Coturnix japonica: one gene and its partners. The protein of the gene in region 3 interacts with the protein of the main gene of each other region in a pairwise test. Links are inferred from orthologs where the notes say so. Each region holds a gene or a part of one and is shown on either strand. Other genes may lie near its edges.

Region 1 (7,741 bases), on a different chromosome or scaffold from region 3:
TGTAGTGCACTTCGCTTGTCTTCATATCCCAAGTACCATTCCCTGTGTAGTGAGGGCAGATGGGTGAGCAAGGTGGTGATGTGAATAGAGACTGGGGCACAAGCACTAGCTGTGGGTGGAAGGCTGCTTTAGGGAACCACTGAAACTCTGAACAGGTTAATCATTTAGCTGCAGTTGCTGGGCTGAATGCTAGGTTGCCTTGAGAAAGATAATTAGGATAATTATGCTTACGCAGTCAAATCTTTTAATCCCCTGTGAACTGCAGGACTTATGTGTTTAACTGGGAATAAGGTGCTGTTCCTTGAAGAGAGGGCCATCAGCAGGGAGAAGCAAAGACAACAGTAGGCTGTGGGGAGCTTTTGGAGGTCATCTGGCATGATCTCCCACTCAAAGCAGAGACAGCTTTGAAGCTAGATCCACATTTGAAGTAGCTGAAGCTGCTTAGGCCTTTTGTTGGCAGTCAACTTATTGATATCTTCAAGAGTGTTGCTTCCACAGCTTCTTTAGCTGCAATATTGCCTGCTTGCTCTGTGAACTTATTCCTGACACTGAGTGAGGATTTCTTCTAATGCAATCCATCTGTTGCTTCTTGCTCTTCTGTGCATCTCCAAGAGCAACCTGGCTGCACGTTCCCCATAACCCCTCAGTAACGAGATGGATCTATTAGTCAGCTGTCCTGTTAGCTTATTCAGGCTGAGCAAGCCCAGCACTCTCAGCCTGTTCTACACAGCATGTGCTGTAGCTCCCTGATCATGCCTTCTTGGATAGGCTTGAATGTGTTAGTTCCTCTAGCAGAGAAGCTAGGCAGGAGAAAACTGGACACAGTGCTCCACTGACAGGAGGATGACGTTTTGTTTTAAAATGCTTTTTTTTAAATCAATCTTCCTTCATTTCCAGGAGTTCGCCAGCATTCAGAAAAGCTGCAGCACTTTGACAGTGCCATTTCCAAGTTCAGGAGCTGGCTAAACAAATGGCTTCTAAGAATACTCAGTATTTTGTAATCCAAAAGCCAGTGATGTTGTAAGGAAGAGCCCAGGCACCAACAGCCACTCCTATCTTCAGTCTGAATTCATCCATCTTTTCTTTCATTAGTAACAATTACAGAAGTTGCTGCCTTTCAGTTTTTCTCTTGTTCTGCCACTTTTCTTCGTTGTGTGAGTTGTTTACTTTTAAGAGCATATGTACAATTTTTATTCTGCAGACACACCCCTGTAATGACTTCTGAATAGCAAAAAAAATGGTGTGATTAATGATGTACCTGTGTCTGCCAGTAGATTGGTTCCTTGTAACCACTGCGTCAGCACAGACCTCCAACTTGCTCTCACTTGTGCCCAGCCTTGTTCTAGGTGAGGAAGGGAGAAACTGGGAAACCTGTCTTTTATTCTACACCAGTGACAAAAAGCCAGTTTTATTTGCACACCCATTGTTGTATATTTTAGTTTGACATTGCAATACATGAGGGCTGCTCTGAAAGTAACGCCTCCTATTTTACTATGTTGGCCCATGATGTCACAGGTGGATGTTGGCAGGGGTTGAACCTTCCTGCCAGTATTCCATTCCATGTTGTTCTCATGTGACAGATGGCAGCAGAGGGGCAGTCCAACAGAACGGTGTCTGGCATGGACGTGTAGATGAAGCAAAGGGGTGTGACTGAATTCCTGAATTACTATTTAGTTGATATTTACAGCATCTAAAAGCAGAATTGCTATTGCTTTCCTTTTATATTTTACCAGACATGTTTTAATAATGTTAATGAAAGCAAAACCAAACTGAGTATCTAGGAAGACTGGTTTTGCTTTTACTTTAGAGTTTAGGCGCTCTCCTCAAGTGGACGATGGGAGAGTAAGACACAACCAAAGCATAGGCTGCTCACCTTGCTCTTCCTTCAGCCTTGCGCTGAAGAAGAGGTGCTGGTGGAATGCCATCCTGTCTGCAGGATGCAGACAGTGGAGCACAGACTGACGCCTGCAACAACACAGGACTGGAACTAGAAATACAGGAAAAACGTTGTTCATTATTTTCAAAGTCAGTGAAAGACTCACAGACCTTTCTCTCATTTGAACTGTCTTCTGCTGTGGCTTTCTTTACATGCTATTCAAAGTACGTGCTCTTTGCATTTCGACTGTGAAGTTGCTGCTTGTTCTAGCAATAGTTCTCCCTGTTCCTCTCGGGCCAGATTGTTTTCTTCTCTCTACCTTGTGGGCAGGTATCAGTTAATTGTATTTTTTTGCTGCATGTATCTGTAACATCCTCTTTTTTTTACTTCTCCTGGGTAAAATTGAGTCCCTTCATGCACTGAGATTTCCCTTGGCCTGCCTCTCACTGTGCTTTTCCTCTTGCATTCAGCCCTATATCCTGTGCCTGCAGCTAAGGTGTATTTTGCTAATGAGGCATTCCCATTGTTGGCATGGTTCTGAAAGCAGCTGGATATCTCTTTTTAAACTTGTAGCTTTTGGTAAAAGATGCAGTTCTAACGGTTTGATTATTTTATTGGAAATGCCAGTTGAGTTAGGAAACTTGAGACTTGGCTTTCTGCAGTTTGGGAAATGTTTCTGAGGTGGGACAGAAAACACAGATTATCTGCACGCTGTTTGCTTGTTCTGAAGGAATGACCTGGAATGTGCTTTATTTCACGTGATAAGGTTGATGCACAATTGCTGCTTAGTGTAGATATGGAGGAACTCAGTGCAGCCAAGAGTTGAGATCTAATCCCTCAGCACCTGTTGGTACATTCCAGCAGGGATGGGACATGGTGGCAAAGGAGTGAAAGGGCTCTACTTTCTGTGACTGCTGAGTTCTCTGTTTAAAATCCAGTAAATTTTAAAATATGCCTAGAAGTCATCAGAGGTTAATACGATTTTTTTTTTTTTCTAATTAAAGTGAGGCTATTCATAGAATCTCAGAATGGGTTGGGTTGGAAGGGACCTCTGAGATCACCTCATTCCAACCCTCTGCTACAGGCAGGGACACCTCCCTCTCGACCAGGTTGCTCACAGCCCCATCCAGCCTGCCCTATGCTTCCTGGGGAGGGGGAGTATCCACCACCTCTCTGGGCAACCTGTGCCAATGTCTGACCTATGAATTAAAGTACATACAGAGGCTGTAGAGGAAAAAAAAAAAAAGCTTTCAAGAAGGCTTTTTGAGTTTCTGCATCAGCTTCAGCATGTGTCATGTGCTGCACAGGGTGGCTCTGGGAAGCAGAGTCATGTAAAACCAGAATAACTTGTTGGCATAGGCCGCTCTCGTGGGACTGCAGTACTGCACATACGTTCTTGTTGGTAATGGCATCCTTCCTGCAGCACCATCTGACTTTAACCTGCAGCATCCAGCTTGGCTTCAGGTTGTCTCCTGACCTCCTCCTCTGGGGAAGCAGTGCTCCAGCCGCAGGGCATGCTGCTGCCTCTCGCTTCAGTTGCAACCTGCAGCCTGTGCGGAGGCAAGCATGCTTGTCCACACAGGAAGCCAGGCAGGAAATCACTTGCCACAGTTCTCAAAACTGTGTGGTGCGGCCTTTCAGATGGGGCCTGATGTTCTCAGTTGGTGCTGTCACTTTTCTCCTACATCTCTTTTCCTGTGTCCTGTGTGCCTCACCCAAAGTCCCCTGTGGTTTCTGGAGCTTGCAGAGAATTAGTGCAGGACGTGCCCCGCCAGCCATTAAAGTGAAAGCAGTCTCCAGTGGCTGCATAACAGCTCTGTAGTCTAACTGTACACCGACATGCCGAGTACATGAATCAGAAATGCAACCCATGTCAAAAAGTTCAGATCCTGGTTTGCCCATGGTATTCAGGGTTCACTGGAAGATTTTTATTGGGTGGTTCTATTTTATTTAATTTTTAATGTCTATCCCTATGACAGCAAGCTTACAAACATTCAGTGACTAAGTGTTCGTTGTCAGTATGCATGAGATGGAGTACACTGAGCCTGTCTGCTGGCACCACTGCAGCTACAGTTTCCTGTTATCTTACGGGAAAAAATAATTGTATCTTGGCTTAAAGCAGTGAAGTCATCTGATTCTGTGCCGTTCTTTCTTTAAGTATGTTTTCTTCTAAGCGTTGAGAAATGGGGTGTTTGGTAATAGGTATTTGCCACAGTACAGAGGGAGAAATACTGCCTTCCATATGAGGGGAGAATGAGCTCCGTGCTGTGACAGCTTCGTAGTGCTTTTACACCGGGCTCCTGAGAACTCATTAAGATTGAATTGTCCATTTGCACTAAAAGTTCACATTCGCAGCACAGACTTAAGGAATAAAAAAGTAATCTGCAGGACAGCACCAGGGCCATGGCCAGCACTTCATGCTGGGCTGCTTGCTCCAACCCACCCTCCCCAACCCAGTGTGGCTCCCTGTTAGCGGTGCTGCACTGCTGCTTGCTCAGCACTGCAACTTCCTTCCAGCTCTCTGTTAGAGGAAGTGAAACCACTGAGACGTATTTTTACGTTCTGAGGTGCCAAAGTAAAATGAAGCGTTTCGGGCTGAGGGGAAAGGTGGCTGAGAAGAGTGGCTGCTATGGAGAGTGGGAGGAAAGCGTGTCCGCTCCATGATCACCGATAAGGGTGTGATAAAGCACGTGCTGCGTTTAGCAGAGTCATTAAGCTCTATACTGAGTTGTTTTTCCTTGGATACTGCCGTCTGCATTGACAATTGCAATTCCATTTGCGGAACGAGTAAGTAATTGCTTTTATTAAGAGGAAGTTTGTGTGCCGAGTCTGCAGGAGTCCTGTGAGCGTCCTGGTTAAACTCAGCTTGACTGAAGTGCTTGTAGCTCTTTCTTACGTAGGTGGTGAGGGAAAATAAAGCTTAGGGAACAAAAGCAGCTTGCAGGTATCTTTTGATTGACTGAGATGCTGAAGTGTGAAATTTATGCATTCTACCATTCAGCTAGAAAATGTGTACAGCCGGCCGGTGCTGTATTGCTGAGACCTTAATAAAGGAGTTGTAGTTTTATGTTTTCAGATGAGGTTGGGGAAGAAGTAGGGGTTTGTGTCTGCTTGTCCCGGAGGACAGCCTCCTTCCCTTGCCTGTGGTGGAGCAGACTCCTTGCCTAGACTGTTTCCAGACTCTGTGTTTACAAAGTAAACTTTCCTTATGCCAAATGCATGTGAGTGGCTGAAGCTGGGCCTGCTGGGGCTGCAGGAAGGCAGCAGCCCGTCCGTGAGCTGCTGCAGGAGGTGCAAATAAATATAGTTTTGCAGGTAGCTCTGGGATCTACTTTAAATGTTCACAGAAGGGCCCATTAATGAGGTGGTATAAGATCTTTCTGCAACTCTGTTCATTAAGATTATATTATTTCTGCTGTGATTAGTGAGATGAATGGGTGGACACGGAGATGCTCCTCAAATAGCAGGTGTGTGATGAGGTATTGACTACCAATTTGTCTGTTTTCTTCCTTCCCCAGTGGCCACGGATGTCTTCAATTCGAAAAGCTTGGCCATTCAGGCCCAGAAGAAGATCCTTGGGAAAATGGTGTCCAAGTCAATAGCAACTACTTTGATAGATGATACCAGCAGTGATGTGTTAGATGAGCTCTACAGAGTGACAAAGGAATACACACAAAATAAAAAAGAAGCAGAGAAGATCATCAAAAACCTCATTAAAATAGTCCTCAAATTGGCTATTCTCTACAGGAACAATCAATTTAATCAAGATGAAATTGCGCTGATGGAGAAATTCAAGAAGAAAGTTCATCAGCTGGCGAAGACGGTGGTCAGTTTCCATCAGGTGGATTATACCTTTGACAGGAATTTCTTGTCCAAACTGTTGAATGACTGTAGAGAGCTGCTTCATCAGATCATTCAGCGTCACCTAACAGCGAAATCGCACGGACGTGTCAACAACGTGTTTGATCACTTCTCCGATTGTGAATTTTTGGCTGCCTTGTATAATCCCTTTGGACCTTATAAACTTCATCTGCAGAAACTCTGTGACGGGGTCAACAGAATGCTAGATGAGGGGAACATATAAGCACCTGTGCTAAAGTTGACTGCCCGTGTGTTGTTTGTAGGTGGAACACTGTTGATTTATGAAGGAATAAGGGAGCATGAAAATGGGGATTTCTTTTTTTCTTTTTTTTTTTTATATTCTGACAAATATTTCAAAATGATCTTTATTAAACTGATTACTTCTTATGAGCTATCCATTGCTATTTGCAGTCCATCTGGAAGAAAGATGGCACATTACCTTCTTTTGCTGTGCTTTGCCCATGGGAACGGATGGATAAACAGAATAGAATAGAAAGGTCCAAGTAGGGTACACAAAACAGATACAGAAAACAAACTAACTTGCTGTCAGACAATCCATATATTTATATAAATATTTATAAGCCACTGGTGTCCAGTAATGTTGGTAACGTGGTGTCATGGTACACTCTATGATATCTTCAATTTATTTGTAACATTTGTATCTGATCGATTTGTATTCTTTTATGCTGTCTGCACAGATCACAGCTTCCTAGTTTGCCCCTGCAAGACATTCAGTTTTGCATAACACCAGTGATGCTGTCACAGTGTCTGAACTGGTTTTGTGCTTCTCCAGCTCAGCAATGTCTGAAAGGCCATCAGGTGATCCCAGCAGATGTACACAGATGCTTTGTTTCCTTTGATTGTTTCAGGAACAATAAGCTGCAGTGAAGTAGCCTAAATGGGGGGAAAAAACACTCCCTAAACAGAACCTGTGGTACATGCATATGAAATTGTAGGGTAAAACACAGTGACTTACTTCTGCAGTTCCTTAAGATTGTTGGAATCCTGCTAATATGGCATAATTCTTTCAGCAAAGGTCAGCTTATTTTACACTTTGGGTTTATGTGCATTCGGAAAGCTTAATGATCTGAAAAATAAATTCCAAGCCAGTTTGCTTTGTTTATAGTGTATCTAACAACAGATCATTTTGGGGTTATATGCTCTTGAACTACTGGAGGAGTGACATCTTGAATCAGTTTCTGTTCTCATCTCCCCTCCTACCTTTCATCCTTCCTCTTCCTCCCTCATCTTCTCCCTGCCTTGCCCTTGGGGTAAATAAATGTGACTTCCTAGACACTGTAATGTACTTAAAAGTGTGAAGTTAATACATTTCAAACACCTGAAGACTTTTGTTAGAAAGCATATAAAGAATTTGCAGTTTATTTAATTGCCAGTTTTTTGTTTGCTGTTTGCTATGTCTGTTTTAATGAGTAAACCAAAGAATATTTGCACTCTGAACTTTTCATGTTTTTTTTTTTTTTCCCCCTCCCTGTTGCAGTTTGAATTACAAAGAAAGTACTTGGAGCATGCAGACAACCAGAACATTACAGTCTGAGATATTGCTTCAGCATCCCACGTCAAGTTTTAGAGTACAGAGTTCACTTGAAATCGCATTAGCTCAGTCACTAGGCTCTGAATAATCCCCAGAAAGACACCAGAGGTTTGCCAGATAAATGTGTGTTCAAAACACAGACTCCTTCTGTACAAGCCATTAGAATACAAGAGGGAGAGCTGATTAATATACTGCACTGCTTGGCTGGAGTAATGTGGAAGTGATGTAAGAACAGTGCCTCAGAATTTGAGGAGAGTTAGATTATTTGTTTGACATCTGAATGAGTGTCAGTTAAGGTCTGTCCCTCCTGTTTTACTGAAGCAGTAAATACATGGCAGGTTAGCCCACCAGAAGTCATTTATAGGGCTACGAAATCATAAGGAAGATATGGTACTGGATTTCCAAAGGCTTGCTTTAATAAATAGCATGGCATAGCACTTAACCTGTGTCAT
Region 2 (7,646 bases), on a different chromosome or scaffold from region 3:
AAGTACTTCTTAACTTTATTGGTATTTTTTAACTACTCACAGGTAAGGTTCTTCCTGGCGTGGATGCCCTGAGCAACGCGTAGAGAACAGCGTATCACCCCCGTTACTGTGCACAGCCCCTGAGATTCAACACTTCTATGCTTCTGTATTTCAACTCTGCGATAGGCAGATCACAGGATGTAAACACAAACTGGACAGGATTTGAGAAGACAGCAGAGATATTTTATGGCTGCAGTTTACATGATCTGGATGTGTTCACTCTTATCCCACTTGAATTATAATGTAGTGCATTTAAACTGTTGTTGTGGATTTAGAGTGTATATATTTATATTTTGCCTTCTCAGAGAGATTAATCCCTCTTAGACATGTCTGTTTCTCAGAAAGGAGTGCACTGTGTAGCTTCTTCAATGTTCCTAGCAGGCATTTCTGTCACTTGACACGGTTCAAAAACAAAAGGGGACTCCAGTTTTTTGGAGGCCGATCGTAATAGCTGCTGAATAAACATATTTAAAATGCTGACAGCTGGTATGTAGTCTTTCTTTCAGATTTTGCATTAAAATACCCTTATTCTAGCACTAGGAGTCAGATCTTTCTCATTATTATTTTTTTTACCCCGTGGATCTGTAAGCATCCAGTCATCATCAATGTGAACTTTGGTAAGGAAGTTATTGTAGATCTGGTGTTACATCAAAACTTGCATGTCATCAAGTAAGAGAGAAGATGAAATTTTAATAGTAGGTGTAGTAAAAAGTGGTCAAAGCTTCAAATGTGGTTATTGTAGAGAAAACTTGCTGCACAGTAGACAGCTAATGTCTCTAACTTAAATATTCTGGAACCTTTGAAGGCAGGCAGGTAAGAACTCAAGGTTTTTGCCTTCCCCCTTATGTACACAAACAGAACTGCAATACTCTTGTTCATGTATGTGAGCATAAAAGTGCTAAAACAAGCAGAGCAAAACAGATAATCAGGCTTGTTTACAGATCAAACACATTGCAGAACTACAAGCGTTGTCAGTGGAATAGCACCAATGTGGTGCAAATGTATGAAGTTGGGATTATTCTGATCCTGGCTGTTGTGGGGTTGGCTCCTGCACCTGCTACAGGACACAAATGTAAGTACAAGGTAGCTCTGAATGAAACTCAGTGATATAGCAAAATCACATTGGCTACAAATCACCCAAAAGTGTGTTTTGGATCAAGTCAGCAGTCATACAAAGCTTTACTCAGAAGAACTACAAGAATGCAGTGATTCAAATATGTATCTTTCTCCTGGATCACTGAGCAGTGATAAAGCAGTGATTGCCTGCTCTAGACCTAGTGGCTTCCCTGCAGTACTATCACACTGCCATCCTGGGTGTTGGGTGTGGGCTGAGCTGAACAACGCAGGGATGAGCTGTGGAGAGAATCTTTGAGGTGAGCAATAAGCTGCAATACAGAGCATGCTTTTAAGTTAAAGTATGTAATGTATACAGTACTGCCAAGACAAAATGGAGGTATGTGTTATAAACAGACGTGGTCTATTTGCTAAATGGTACTTGGTCACAGCAGGATGCAAATTAAAACCCAATCAAGTTAAAGTGCTTATGAAGGTATATATGAAAATTATACTTGCTACATTTTAAACCTAAAGGCGACACTTGAAAAGCAACCAGAAATAATGTAAATGATTGCAGCACTGTAAGTCTTCTCCCTCCCTCCTTTGTAAATCTCCCAAGCATTGTCTGATTACACATGAATGATGCAGATTTTTGCTAGGATTGCTTTCTAGCTGCTGCTCATGTTTTCCAGGCAGGGGTGCAGACCTCCCACAGCTGCAGTAACGAGGCAAAGAAAAGAATGAGCTTGTCAGCCACAAAAAGACTATGGATTTTGGAAATCTACTACTACAATAACAAACGTTCCACCGTGTTTTATAACAGTCTGTTCTTGTCTGGCTCTGGCAAACAAGGCCTTGTTAGAGCAAGGCTTGTTTTAGTGTCGCTCTTGGAATCCTGTGTTGCTGGCTTCCCATGGAGCAAAAACAAGACTTACCCTCCATATCTCCTTTGGTATTTACAGTGAAAGGTCGGTGTGTGGCCACTACCTCCTCTTTGTCCTCCTCCTCTTCATCAAAAGCAACAAGACAAAGCTGTCTGTAATCAAATATAGCAAGGAGTTGTGATGCACCATGAACACAGATGTATGCACTCAAAAATATTTTTGCACCTGACTTTTGGATTCGTGCTATGTATGTCTTAGAATGGTTTGTTTGTTTGTTTCCATGCCTTATTCTAATTATTGCCACTCTTAGGTCTGTGTGCTGAGAACAAACCAACAGCAGAACTAGACATGCTTAGTTTTTCAGATATTAAAGCAAAGGGGATGAAATGTCCTTGCATGAGTCTGCAGGAGCTGTACGCTTGATGACCAGCAGCTGATTAACAACAATTTCCAGATGTTTAACCTTTGCCTATAGTTTAGTTTTAGTAACTATTTGTCTATCTGTAACTATCTATTTCAAGAGAGCATGTGGCAGAAGGCCACAAAGATGAGGGGCCTGGAACATCTCCTGTACAAGGAGAGGCTGAGAGACGTAGGGCTGTTCAGCCTGGATAAGAGAAGGCTGAGAGGGGATCTCAAGTGTAAGAGTCGAGTAGATGGGAGCGTGCTCCTGTTTGACCAGGGGGTTGGACTCCATGGAACCCCGAGGTCCCTTCCGAGCCCTGCAGTTCTGTGACTCTGTGAGGGGCCTCCAGTGGGCAGCAGCCATTTCGTGAGCTCAGAAACCCCACTCACCTGGAGGTAAGGGTGAGCTCCGGGTCCTTTTGTTCTCCCTGCGGGCTCTCCTCGGCGTACCTCACTCACAGCGGTAACAACAACTCGCTCGGCCTTTTGAGAAGGACTTCTGAGCTTTCATCCCCACCAAGTCCCGCTCGGACCCTCCGCTCGCTGAGGTGCCGCCACCGACAGAGCCCAGCACGCAGCCCGGGGCGCTGAGGAGGGGCGGGCGGACTACGCCTCCCGGCAGCCACTGCAGGGCCCGGCCCAGCGGGGGATGCCGGGCGCCGCCGCCGCCTGGTGAAAGTTATCCACCCAACCTGGGCAAGGCGCCTCCCAGAGCCGCGCGGCGCCTCCCGTTGCCATGCCGGCTTTGTCACCTCGGCGGGGAAAGCGGCAGGATGGATGAGCGGGCGGCCGACGGGGCAGGCGCCCGCCGGGTAAGGAGCGGGAAGGGAGGGACCGATGGAAGGCGCGGGCCGCTGCGGTGAGGCCGGTTCTCCGCGCCTCTGAGAGGGCCCGCGGCCGCCCTGCCCGCCGGGATGCCGGGCTCGGGCAGGTGCAGGGGAGCGGCGCGGGGCTCCGCCGGTGGAGAGGCCGCTGGGGGAAAGGGGGAGCGAGGAGTCTGCTCCCGCCTCACGACCGCGGCCCTCCTGCCCTCCATCCCTCCCTCAGGGGCTGCCCGCCGCCCCGCGCTCGGCCTGAGGGTACTGTGGCCGCGCTGCCCCGTCTCGGGCCCCTCCCGGGGACGGAGGCAGAGCCGGGGCTCAGCCCCAGGCCCCCGCGAGTCCTGAGGAAGACTCCTGGGAAAGCTTCGAGAAGGCTATGAGGGTTTGCCGTGAGTACCTGCTCTGCGGTCAGAGGGGTTTGCGTGTGTGAAGGGGAGAGCAGAGCTGTGCTGGCCCTTGCCATGTCTGTTTTTGGGTCCATGTAGCGCCAGGGGACACTTTGCTCCTGTAGTCCCACACAGGAGCCCTGTGGCCTCAGTGCGTGCCTGGCCCACTGCTCCCATTCCTGCTGATCCACCTCTGCCCGAACCCCAAATTAAGCAGAAAGGACTCCAAATCCTCCTACTTTGGTTCCTGAGAGAAGAAAATGTTGATCTATGAGTGATGATCCCAGAAGTGTTGGGAGCTCTGTATCTGTGTCCCTGCCCCATAGAGAGAGAATGATCCCCCAGCAGCCCCCTGAGGTCTGGGTTCAACCATCCCTGCGCTGCCCCAGGTAAAAAAGACTGGGCCTTTATAGGCAGGCTGATTCAGGTTGGCCTATAAATATTCTCAGCGAGACTCACCATATGGTGGGAGCAGAGCCACAAGTTCCATCTGTGCCAATTCCAAGATATCTTTTTGGTAGAGCAGAGGGACGGAAGGCTGAATCTGCAGTCACGCAGGAACCTGGCGGCTGTTGCTTTTGCTTGATGTTGTAGGTAGCCAGAACCCAGCGAAACCACCCCTATGTGCCAGGACACCTCCTGGTGTTCCCATGGCACAGGTACTTGGGGGGCTGTTTTTACTTCTTAAAACATCTGGTCCCAGGCTCATGCCCATGGCATCCTTGCCTGGAGTCCTTTACCACGAGGAGCATCAAGAAGATGCCCATTTGATTTTCAGGTTAAGTTTCTGTGTCACCTCTAATAAATGATCTTCTGCTCATCCCTCATGCAACAGAAAATAGAAAATTCCATTCTAATTCAGTCCTCGTTCTTATTCCACGTTTTAATAATAGTTTTTCATTTAACATCTAATCCTGTCCTAGCACCTCTAATCAGTAAGGCCCAAGGTGCTTTACAAAAGAAGGGAAAAAAACCTATTCCAATTATCCTCATTAAAGCTGATATCTTTTGGCTTTGGGCAGCTTCTGCAGATAATATAGGTCATAAATAATTAGGAATACAATCTAATTAAAAGAAATCCCAGTTGTAAACCAAAGGGCCACACTGAAGAAGCCGGTCTTCAAAGGCACGGCCTTGTAACCTAACCTCCCTGATCAGAGCAGCATCCCATTAACCTGCAGCTCTTTGCCCTCCTGACCTGTGTGCCCCAGCAGCAGGTACTGCTGGGTGCCTGTGTAGGATTGTAGAGAGGGAGAGATTCAGGGTGTCTGTGACAAAAAGCATTCTGGTTTGAATAAAGGTCTGGTGTTTAGCAAGCTACCATAACCCACAGTCTGAACTGAGCAAAATGGAACTAATGTAGGGGTTTTTTTTTTTAGCAAAAGAGAAATAATTACTGGAAATTAGAAACACTGCTCAAACTCGAGTCCTGAAGATAGTTAAAGTAAGTTGTGTCCTGGATCAAGTTCATACGTGACCTAAATAGAATTCTGACCCCAGAACTCACTCTGAGCACTATCTTTCATTAAAGTTGGGTGTGAACTTTCATGTCTGGGAGTTTAGGCTCATACTAAACTGGATCTCTGTGTTTTACCTGCGTGCCTCCTTGGAAGCTGACTATCTCAGGGCTGCTGTTTATCTGTATAATTCAATAGTAGGGCTATGTGGGAGAAATCCCTGTTCTCATTCCAAGAACTTGCTGTCACGTATTAATTATTCTGTGGCAATATTTGTGCTCTGATTCCTAGTTACACAGTGTTTAGCGATGACCTAATTGCAATGTTCTCATTAGCAGAGAAGTTTCTGAGTTTGACTTTCTAGTTCACCTTCTCCATAAGTCATCATACGTTCTACCATCAATACTGCTACTTTAGCCTGATGTTTTCTGGGTCGTCATAAGGCATTTGAAGTGCATCCATAACAGCTTCTTGCATTACACTGTTGTATCCTACAACTTAGTTCAGAGTGAGAGCAGACCATCTTGTAGGTGAAAATGGCAGAATCTGAAGAGCTATGTCAGCTTTCTTACCACTAAAGAAACCGCACCTGTGTTTGGTGTTGGGTAATTTCCTTGAAAGCTGGGAATACACCAGCAGCTACGAACAAACCTAAAATGGCCAGACTCCTTTTGGATTGTCTTGTGCAGGGGTTTAGTCTCAACCACGAGATGTTGGTTTAATTTTCAAACTCAGAGGCTGCTGACTGCAGGTTACATTAACTGAGTCCCTTTGGGCTTAGGAGAGGTCTGATTTTGATCTACCTGTGCTGTAATTTCTTTGTTTGTAAAACCCAGATGTTTTGTGTTAACTGTAATTGTTTTATATACATGGAGCTCAGAATAGTAAGGGATGGCTGGAGCTCTGGGAAGCACTGGTGATACTGGACATGGGCTCCATGTGGCAAGAGGACACCCACAGCAGTAAGGCAGTGGGGTACACAAGCACTGGGAGCTGCAGGGTGGGGGGATGAGAGCAGAAAAAAGGGGGAAGGATCAAAGGAAGTATATAAAAGTATAACATTAGAAACAGTGTATGGGGCAGATGGCTGACAGAAAACCTTGGAAGAGCAGGTCTAGAAGGATGTAGGGAGAAAACTAAACCTATGCTGCTTGGACAAGGCTTTGCCTTTGCATGTGATAACGTTCTTAGAAAAACTTGGTGCCACTTATGGGAGAGACGAGGGGAGAGGATTCCTGGAAAAGTACATATGCGCACAAAGAAGCCTTTGGTTTCTTCCCTTGCACATTTGTAGAGAGCTCACGTCTTTCTCTTACCCCAGGAGACATTCCTATTTCCTTTCATTTACCAGTGTTTGGAAGGCGGATGGAGATGAGGCACTGTTGGATTCCCTTATTAACTTAATCTGTGGGAAGCCCTACTTAAATCATTGAATTTCTCAGTCTTGATAGAACGAAGTATTTGTACAGTGAAGTCAAACAGAAGATGGAGGTTCCTGCACAGGGAGGCTTTGACGCTGTTCCAGTCCTGCGCCTGTGACTCTTACGCGTGCGTTTCTTTGAAGTCTGAAGCTTAGGAGTCTGCATTAATGATCAAGGGACAGAGCTGAATACAGAATTCGAATGGTACAAAGGTAAAGGTGTGGATATGAATGTGGAAAGAGAATGTTTAAGAGTAGTCTGGCATGTATGATTAATATTAAAAAAAAACCAAAACATGCTAATTTCCTACAGTTACTCAAGTTCTTGGGGCTTTTAGCATCTTCTCATTTAATGTAGATCAATGATCTCCTGCTGAGTCCTGTCATATTCAAATTATTAACTTCCTTAACAAGTAGAAAACTTGAGGTCTGAAACCTTTAGCCGTTTTGCACGATGGGAAACTTGCTCTGATCCTTTAGGCAGGAATCTCTGTTCCTCACTCGGTGTTTTAGGGCGCTCTGCTTGGCTTTTGGCTGCTGCTGCTGCTGGCCCCGCTCTGCCAAATGTCAGTGATCCCTGAACGCTTTCAAAGTTCCTTAGGACTCTCAGTGGATGCAAAGCGCTTCTGAAGCTGAGATTTGTCAGGAACCGAATGCATTAGAACAATTATTTCTGACTTTGTTACGATTGTGTTAAAACTTTGCTGTTTTCCACCATGCTTGTTCTTTTTAGGGCTCTCAGCTGTTGCTCTGATTTGGGAACCCTTATTCATACTTTTTACTTCATAAAGTAAAACAGTCAAAAGAAAATGCAGCACATGCTTGCTGAACTCGGTAGATAAATATCTGTTGCCTCAAACAGCGAAGCAGAACCTTAGTTTCAATTTCCAGCCTACCGTTTCAAATTCTATTTTTCCAGAACTCCACCAGCAAATCAACTCCCCTGTACAGATTACTTGAATTCAGCTTTGTTGGGGACCCAAGGAATGGACTTGGAGGCTCAGTTTTCAGTACTCATCTGATCTGTAGGGACCTCAATAAGGGATCCTAACATGGTATTTATGTCCTACCTGACATGGAGCTGCTTCTGAAGCCCTGGCACCACAAGGCTGGCATGCTCTCTCTGAGTGTCTCCTAAGTGGTGGATGGGTGCAGACCTACCATGGATACTCACTGAT
Region 3 (7,379 bases):
GAAGACTGAAGGAGATGGTTCTCCCTCTATTCTCTACTCTTATGAGACTCCAACTTAAGTACTATGTTCAGCTCTAGGGCCCTCAGCATTAAGACATGGAGCTGTTGGAGCTGGTGTAGAGAAGTGCCATGAAGATTACCAGAAGGCTGAAGCATCTCTCCTATGAAGAGGGACTGAGATAGTTGAGGTTGAGGCTTTGGGGAGACCTCACTGCAATCATTCAATACTTAAAGAAGGCTGATAAAAAAAGATGGACAGAGCACCTTTTTACAAGGGCATGTAGTGATAGACTGGGATTAGATATAAACCAAATTAGATCTAAAAGTAGATTTACATTAGATATAAGCAAGCCATTCTTCAATATGAAGGTGGTGAAGCACTGGAACAGGTTGCCCATGGAGGCTGGGGAAGCCCCATCCTTGGAAATACTGACAGTTGCGTTGGATGGGAGCTCTGGGCAACCTTGTCTAGTGGAGGGTTTGAAACTGGATGGTCTTTAAGGTCCCTTGCAACCCAAGTCATTCTATGACAAGTTGTCATGGTTTTGTAACGTTGCTGTCAAAATTCCACATCATAACATCATGTGCAGTATGGATCATTAAATTTCTTCAGAAACCCTAGATGTAACAGCTATAAAAATATACATATCTTTAATAAATCAAACTGTCCTTCATTGTGTAAAAACATTCTAAAACCAGATACTGATTGTGCTCTATTATTCAAGAACAAGAATAGTCATAAGCACGATATTTACCTGGTACCCACGTCAGAGGGGCACAAACAGCATTACTAGCACTGATCCTGTGGGCGTATTTAATTATTTCTTCAGATGAAATGGCACCTGGAAGAAGGAAGAAAAGTTCCTGTATTTAAGAGACTGCATCGTTTGATTATTTCTGAATATTGGATGGTTTTTCATACAGAAAAAATTAGGAAAGTCATTCTGTCAAACATCAAAATATGCTTCAAATGCAATGACTGATCAGAGATTCAGAACAAGCGTCATAGTGAATTCACTTTCCAGCCACATGTTCCGTATACCTTGGAGTGTTAACAGGTCTTCAGCCTTTTGAAGAAACACAAACCAGTATCTTCCACAGTGCACTTGACAAGCACATTGTTAAAGAAAATTTCAGCACTTTTACTACAGAAGTTCTGCAGTAATTAAAATCTCTTTCTTCTTCGTAGCTGTAGTTATACATGTACGCAGTAGACCTTCCCCTAATAAATACACTTGTATTCAAGTTCCTCTAATAAATACACTTGTATTAGAGTTACTAGAATCATTCTGAAATTCCTTGATTTGTTTAGAAGGAAGTATGGCAAAAATGACTATAAACAAAACTTAAAAATGCTGCCTACCAAAAAAAAAGAAGAAAAAAAAATCAGTTTGACTGGGAAACTGCCACTCATAGCAGCAATTGATACAAATACAAACAAATATCACCAGCTAATCAGTCTTTTATAAACAATGGTATCATATACATGTACACAAAAAAAACCCTTTCACTTTTCCAGGTAGTCACACTGAAATGATTTGATTTAGGCAATATGAAATCTGTAATAGCCTTAAGAGAAAATTACTAACTTAGATTACTAACTTGAGCTCACTTGCAACACTCTTTACAACTGTTTGTATGTTATGTACGATCGCGGATACTCACCTTTCCTTGCCTTTTCAATTGATTTCAGTTTTTCCTTTGCTTGATAAACCGCTGTGGCCTAAATGTGAAAAAAAACAAGAAAGAAACAACACTATCTACAGCAGGGGAGATTCAAGCTGGACATTAGGAAATAATACTTCTCAGAAAGGGTGGTCATGCACTGGAATGGGCTGCCCAGGAAAGTGGTGGAGTCACCGACCATGGGGGTGTTCAAGGAATGACTGGATGTTGTGTTGAGGGACATGGTTTAGTGGGAGCTATTGGTAATAGGTGAACGGTTGGACTGGATGATCTTTTAGGTCTTTTCCAACCTTGGTGATTCTATGACTCTAAACCAAAACTTCACTGTATCTTTCATTTGTATCCTTCTGTATTAAGATCTGTGTGACTAAACCCTTGATGTAACTGCATTTTAGGAGAGAAACTTCTCCGGAAACGCTTCAAAATATACAGAAACAAAGTAGATTTGTAGAAAATTATCAATATAAAGTAACTGAATGCCATGATAAGGAAGTAGTTTTACTGGGAGGGGGGGAAGACAATAAAACAACCAACTCTAAAGCTCTCACAAAGTTTTAAACATTTCAAACTTCTCAAACTAACACAAAACTTTCTCCAAAGCTTTTCCCCTCCCTACTAGCAGATGCTCAGAAGCAAACACATCATTATGAACTTACCAGTATGTGCTCTGCTTCTTTCAGTTGCTTCTGCAGCTGCTGAATGTCATTATCTCTCTTTTCTACTACCTTTTCTAAAAGCTGCATTTCATGATGGATTTTCCCCTGATCAACTGCCAACTTCATTAGCTCTTGAAACTCTCCATCTCTCTGAATCAGCAGCTCCAGGATCTATTAGACAAGAGTTTTGTAGAACTTTTAATTAGCTCAAGTAACAACGCACCCTCCACCACACTGCAAAAAGCAACTGATATCCACAAGATTATTATTTCTTGCTCAGCTTGCAGAAACAGCCTACGAAGCATGAAACAAATGAACAAGCAATCAAAAACATGAAACCAAGAATGCTTTTTCAGTGATGCCAAAGCTTCATCATCATCGTTAGGAGTCCTCAGTCTCAGGACTAAGTCTCAGGACACCCAGGAGGGGAGTAAACTCTTCGAAATGGCTGACAATAGCAGGACATGGGGAAATGGTTTTAAGTTAAAAGAAGGAAAATTTAGGTTGGATGTTAGGGGGAAGTTCTTCACTAGGAGAGTGGTTAGGCCTTGGAACAGGCTGCCCAGGGAGGTTGTGGATGCCCCGTCCTTGGAGGTGTTCAAGGCTAGGTTGGACGGGGCCCTGGGCAACCTGATCTAGTAAAGGTGTATGTTTGGTGGCCCTGCCAGGCAGGAGGGTTGGAACTACATGATCCTTGAGGTCCCTTCCAACCCGGCTCATTCTGTGATCTGTGATTCTGTTAGTTCATGTACAAAGGGAGAAAATAAGAAGACATAGCATTTACCTGCAAAAAGGATAGCAACTAAGAAAGTCAATTTACCTGGCTCTCTTCTCCTGGTTGTGGAAGCTTCTGGTTTCTTGAAATTGCCAAAATTTCAATTAGTTCCCTAAAAGGAAAACAGTATTTATGCAGTTTTCTAAGCTATTATTTGTAAATCACACCAAATCATCCCCAACTGAGTATTTACATCATTATTAAATCATTCTTGTTCTTAAGTATTTTACAGTTTTACATCACAGTGTTGACAGGGATTTCACTTTTACTTCCATAAACATAAGTATTTCACAATGGTGTATCAGCTGTGCACCAAACTCACAAGAATTAGCTTAAAAGAGCTTCTCAAACAGACCTCTTGATCTTGCCTCCATTTAGTTTTCCCACCATCATGTAGAGCCACAAAGAACCTCAAATGGAGCAATGAAGTTACCATCCTTGAAGGTGCTCAAGAAACATATAGCTGTGGCACTGAGGGATGTGCTTAGTGGGCATGGTAGGGACAGGGTGATGGTTGGATTAGATGATTCAAGAGGTCTTTTCCAACCTTAATGACATTCTCTACGACTAGAATAAAGTTGATTGCGACTGTGAAAGGCCCAGCTCCATGGTACTGCTGATCACTCACATGTTGCTGACAGGCTTTGGGTTTGCTATCGCAGAATCATTAAGGCTGAAGAAGACCTGTAATTACATCCAGTCCATCCATCAGCTCTTCCCACCATGCCCACTATCCCTGTGGCAGTCACTGAGCCACACGGCAGGTTGGTAGCGAGTAATAAGAGCTGCTGGAGAGACAGACTGCTTGGGAGGCAGACTGCACAGGTGCCAGCGAGGAACAAAGCTCCGAGCACACGAACCAGAGCACGGACACAGCTCTCCTGTTGCCCCCCGGGCCCCACGCGTGCGTTCGGCCCCAGGCCGCCGCTCATCCTTCAACCCAACCCCGGCTCCTCGCTCGCTTTCCCCGCCGGAGCCTCGACACCGAGTCTCGGCCATCCCATCGGGTACCTGGCCAGGAGTTCCAGATCCTCCAGCGCCGCCAGCAGCCTCTCCCTGGTGCTGCTCCGCTCACCACCTCCCCCGGCCGCCGTTGCCGCAGCCGCCATCACGCTCGCGGACCCGCCCCCGCCGTAATCCAGCCCCGCTCGGGCGGGACACAGCGGGACACAGCGCCTCCAGCGGCCGAGGGACTGCGGCACGACCGGCAGGAGGCGGGAAGCGGCAACGGCCGCCCTGAGGGGCGGGGAAGGGCGGGACGGCGCGGGAGGCTGGGGCGTGGGGAGCCGCCATGTCGGGGGGCGGAGATGACGTTCGCTTCGGCTTTAGGTGTGGGCTTGTGAGCGCCGTGTCATGGAGCTAGTTCTTTGTAGGTGGAACTGTGCTTAGAATCGTTTCTGAGCCTAAGTTCGTAACCACCAGCTCATCCCGCCATGCACACTAACCGTGTACCTCAGTGCCACAGCTGCCCGGCTCTTGAACTCCTCCAGAGACGGTGACTCTAAGAGCCTCTAAATGGGATTCATACCTACTCTAAAGATCTAGAAAGCAAATGATAAAGAAAGGGGGTATGACTGAATTCCATCTTATCATTTCGTACTCAGTGTCTGTGGGTGCTGATGTCTGAAAATCCTTTAGGTGGCTTTATCAGATGGAGGAGGAAAGTGGCTGAAGAATGTTAAGAGTGATGCTGAAGGAGCCAGGATCACCTCTTGCCTAGGTTTCCTATCCCACAAACAGCAGGACTTCACAGCTATCAAGGAAAAATGACCATCCCAATTTGCCAAGGCTTGCCCATAGTAGCCAACCGCAGCTCTGCTTCATTACAGAGGTCTGCTTGCAATGACAGGGCAGCAAACATGCAAGTGCTGCCCTCTGTCATGTCAGCAGTTGAGCTAGAATTAAAATATACTGAGTTGTATGGGTTATGTTTTGGGGTTTTTTTAAGTGTTGCTGTAATTCGGGTGGTTCTGTAAACAGGCCTCTGGCTCTGGGTGGGGACACAAAAGAAGCCAGACTGAAGCCAGTGGAATTTTTTACATTCATGAAATCTTCTGGTAATATGAAGAGATCAGGACGGAAGGTGGAGGCAGATGAGGAGTGAAAACAAATCCAGAGCCAGGGTTTATGTCTGGGGTGAGGACTTAGGCAGAAGCCATGGTGTCCTCAGCCTCCACATTCTTCTCTTGCCAGCAGGCAGCTGCCGAACCCGCCAGCAAAGCAGTGATTCACTTCTCTCTTCATTAGAGAAAGCTTCAGATGAATGATAACGTCTCTGGATGTTCTAATACTAACGCTGATTATCTTTTTACCTTCTGTAATAAGTACGTCCCTGAGAAATTTACACTTATTAAAAAAATGAAAGGCAAGAAACTCATTAATCAACGATCCTTTGAATTGTGGTTTAAATAAACAATTCAGCGTTATGAGATCCATGATGAAGCAGTGAGATTTGGCAACCCTGAAATGGAGATAACCGCCAACGAGAGTTATTTAATATTCATTTACAATATACAACAGCCCTCAGAGTCCTGATGGTAGATAGTTTGGGAATTCTCTTGAAGCTACACAGCAGATAAAATCTCATCAAATAGTTCTACTCTTTAAATAACTTTTTCTTGCTTTTTTTTTTTTTCACTGTTTTTGTTCAAGGAAAGATGTAATCAGTGATGCTGTCTGGTTGTGCATCCACTTCACTGATTTGTTAGAGTGTCTGTATGGCTGCATGAGCAGAAAGAAAATAGCAGCTTCAGAAAGTAAAGCAATCCTTCTGCTAAATCATTTTCTTCCTCGCATTCATTTTGACATCTGAATTATTTAGGCCTGATGTATTTCTAATACATTTCAGGGCCGCGATGCTAGAGCTAAAACTTATAGCATTAATTGGACGCCCAAACTTGACAGGCCAAGGGTGTAGGAGGTTCCTGCAAGCTGTCTTTCCCTTCTTGCATCCAGGAGCCTGTTGCCTCCATCCCTTTCGACAACAGTATGTCTACGAGCCAGGCCAGTGCCACCAGGCTTTCATTGGAGCAGCTGCCTCCCTCCTCTCGCTTCCCAGGCTGACGACCCTCCTCTAGGCAGCGTGTTCATCGTGCTTTTGTTCTGGTGTCTGATCCTTCCCCTCTCCTTGCTCTGGGGATGGAGTAGAGGATATCAAGGGCAGGTTCCCAGGCAAAGGCTGAATTTGAGCTCCTGCCTCTACGTGGGAGGATGGGCTGAGGCCAGAGGCATTGGGAAATGCCTGCCTGTGTGAAGACATAGAGCGTCATTCAGACTGTGGTAGAGAGGTCATCTCCTTCTGGGCAAAGGGGAAGGCTGGGTTAAATGGGCTTGCACCCTAAACTTGCCCCATGGCCCACTTGTTTAAGACTAAGTGGATGATTTGCTGAATAGACTTCTGAGCCGCACAAAACAACGGAGCATCTGTTTCCCCAGTGTAGGTTCCTCTGTTTCCTTGGTTCCTCAGTGCTTTTGGATTTCTTTCCCCTGAGTAAACTTGTTTCATAGTTGTGTTGGTGTTGAGCCAGATCTGCTCCTTTAAAGCTTATGCATTTCCTGAATAGCTAAGCATCATTCCCTGTTTTTTCTCAGTAGCTTGAGAAGATTTTTAGTTGGTGGCCATGAAGATAGCTCTCCATGCACAGTGAGTCTCCCCCCATCTCTCTTTGGCCACGCATTCTATCTCATTCCTCTTTATGTAACTGAAAGCACACAATGAATCAGGTGAGCAAACAAATTCAACAGAAAAGCTTCATTTTTTCCTGGTGCAATTGCCTTCTGTTAGATGAGCTTGCCGAAGTAATTGGCTTCACTGTAGCCATTGCTGGCTCAGTAGACACAAGGGCAGATGTGGCCAGAAGTAAAGAGGGATGCTTCCCTTATTCACATTCAAGTGTAATTTCAGCCTATCATTCCTCTGGTGCAAAGACTCCAAGGATACTGCCTGTATTTCTTAACCCCTGCTGTTATCACCTCACAGGGTCACTGTAATTTAGAGGCTGGGCTTTAGAAAGCTGTAGAAGAACCCAAAGCAGATCTATGTTTCAATTTCAGTCTGCATCTTTTCCAGGTTACAGCGCTCTTCAGCAGTTTGCTTATTTATACATTGCAGACACTACACATCAGTTGTTCAGGTGGTAAGTGTTTGGTGTACCACACCTTAAAATAACACTGGAAAATATTGACGACATTAAGACACATAACTCCTGAAGGCTCTCAGGTGTCTGGCCATATGTAATAAAACAGCACAATAAAAAGGCAGCA

What was found.
Region 1: the proteins of MED4 (region 3) and TNFAIP8 interact in binary tests that used the Homo sapiens proteins (3 or more experiments, as listed by UniProt). The two-hybrid records come from large-scale screens. The link is inferred for Coturnix japonica from reciprocal best matches to the Homo sapiens genes MED4 and TNFAIP8.
Region 2: the proteins of MED4 (region 3) and AMOT interact in binary tests that used the Homo sapiens proteins (3 or more experiments, as listed by UniProt). The two-hybrid records come from large-scale screens. The link is inferred for Coturnix japonica from reciprocal best matches to the Homo sapiens genes MED4 and AMOT.

Annotation. Positions count from the first base shown.
Region 1 is NC_029547.1:63,275,874-63,283,614, reverse strand, and holds TNFAIP8 (tumor necrosis factor alpha-induced protein 8), read left to right. Parts: upstream 1-3,487; 5' UTR 3,488-4,536; coding exon 4,537-4,663; intron 4,664-5,394; coding exon 5,395-5,960; 3' UTR 5,961-7,195; downstream 7,196-7,741. UniProt on the Homo sapiens protein: Acts as a negative mediator of apoptosis and may play a role in tumor progression.
Region 2 is NC_029519.1:12,243,017-12,250,662, forward strand, and holds the start of AMOT (angiomotin), read left to right. Parts: upstream 1-3,392; 5' UTR 3,393-3,581; coding exon 3,582-3,594; intron 3,595-4,970; exon of another isoform or gene 4,971-5,035; intron 5,036-7,646. Other genes in the region: PGK1 (phosphoglycerate kinase 1), read left to right, coding at 43-83.
Region 3 is NC_029516.1:150,968,558-150,975,936, forward strand, and holds the start of MED4 (mediator of RNA polymerase II transcription subunit 4), read right to left. Parts: upstream 4,299-7,379; 5' UTR 4,226-4,298; coding exon 4,128-4,225; intron 3,229-4,127; coding exon 3,162-3,228; intron 2,513-3,161; coding exon 2,342-2,512; intron 1,723-2,341; coding exon 1,665-1,722; intron 842-1,664; coding exon 755-841; intron 1-754. UniProt on the Homo sapiens protein: Component of the Mediator complex, a coactivator involved in the regulated transcription of nearly all RNA polymerase II-dependent genes.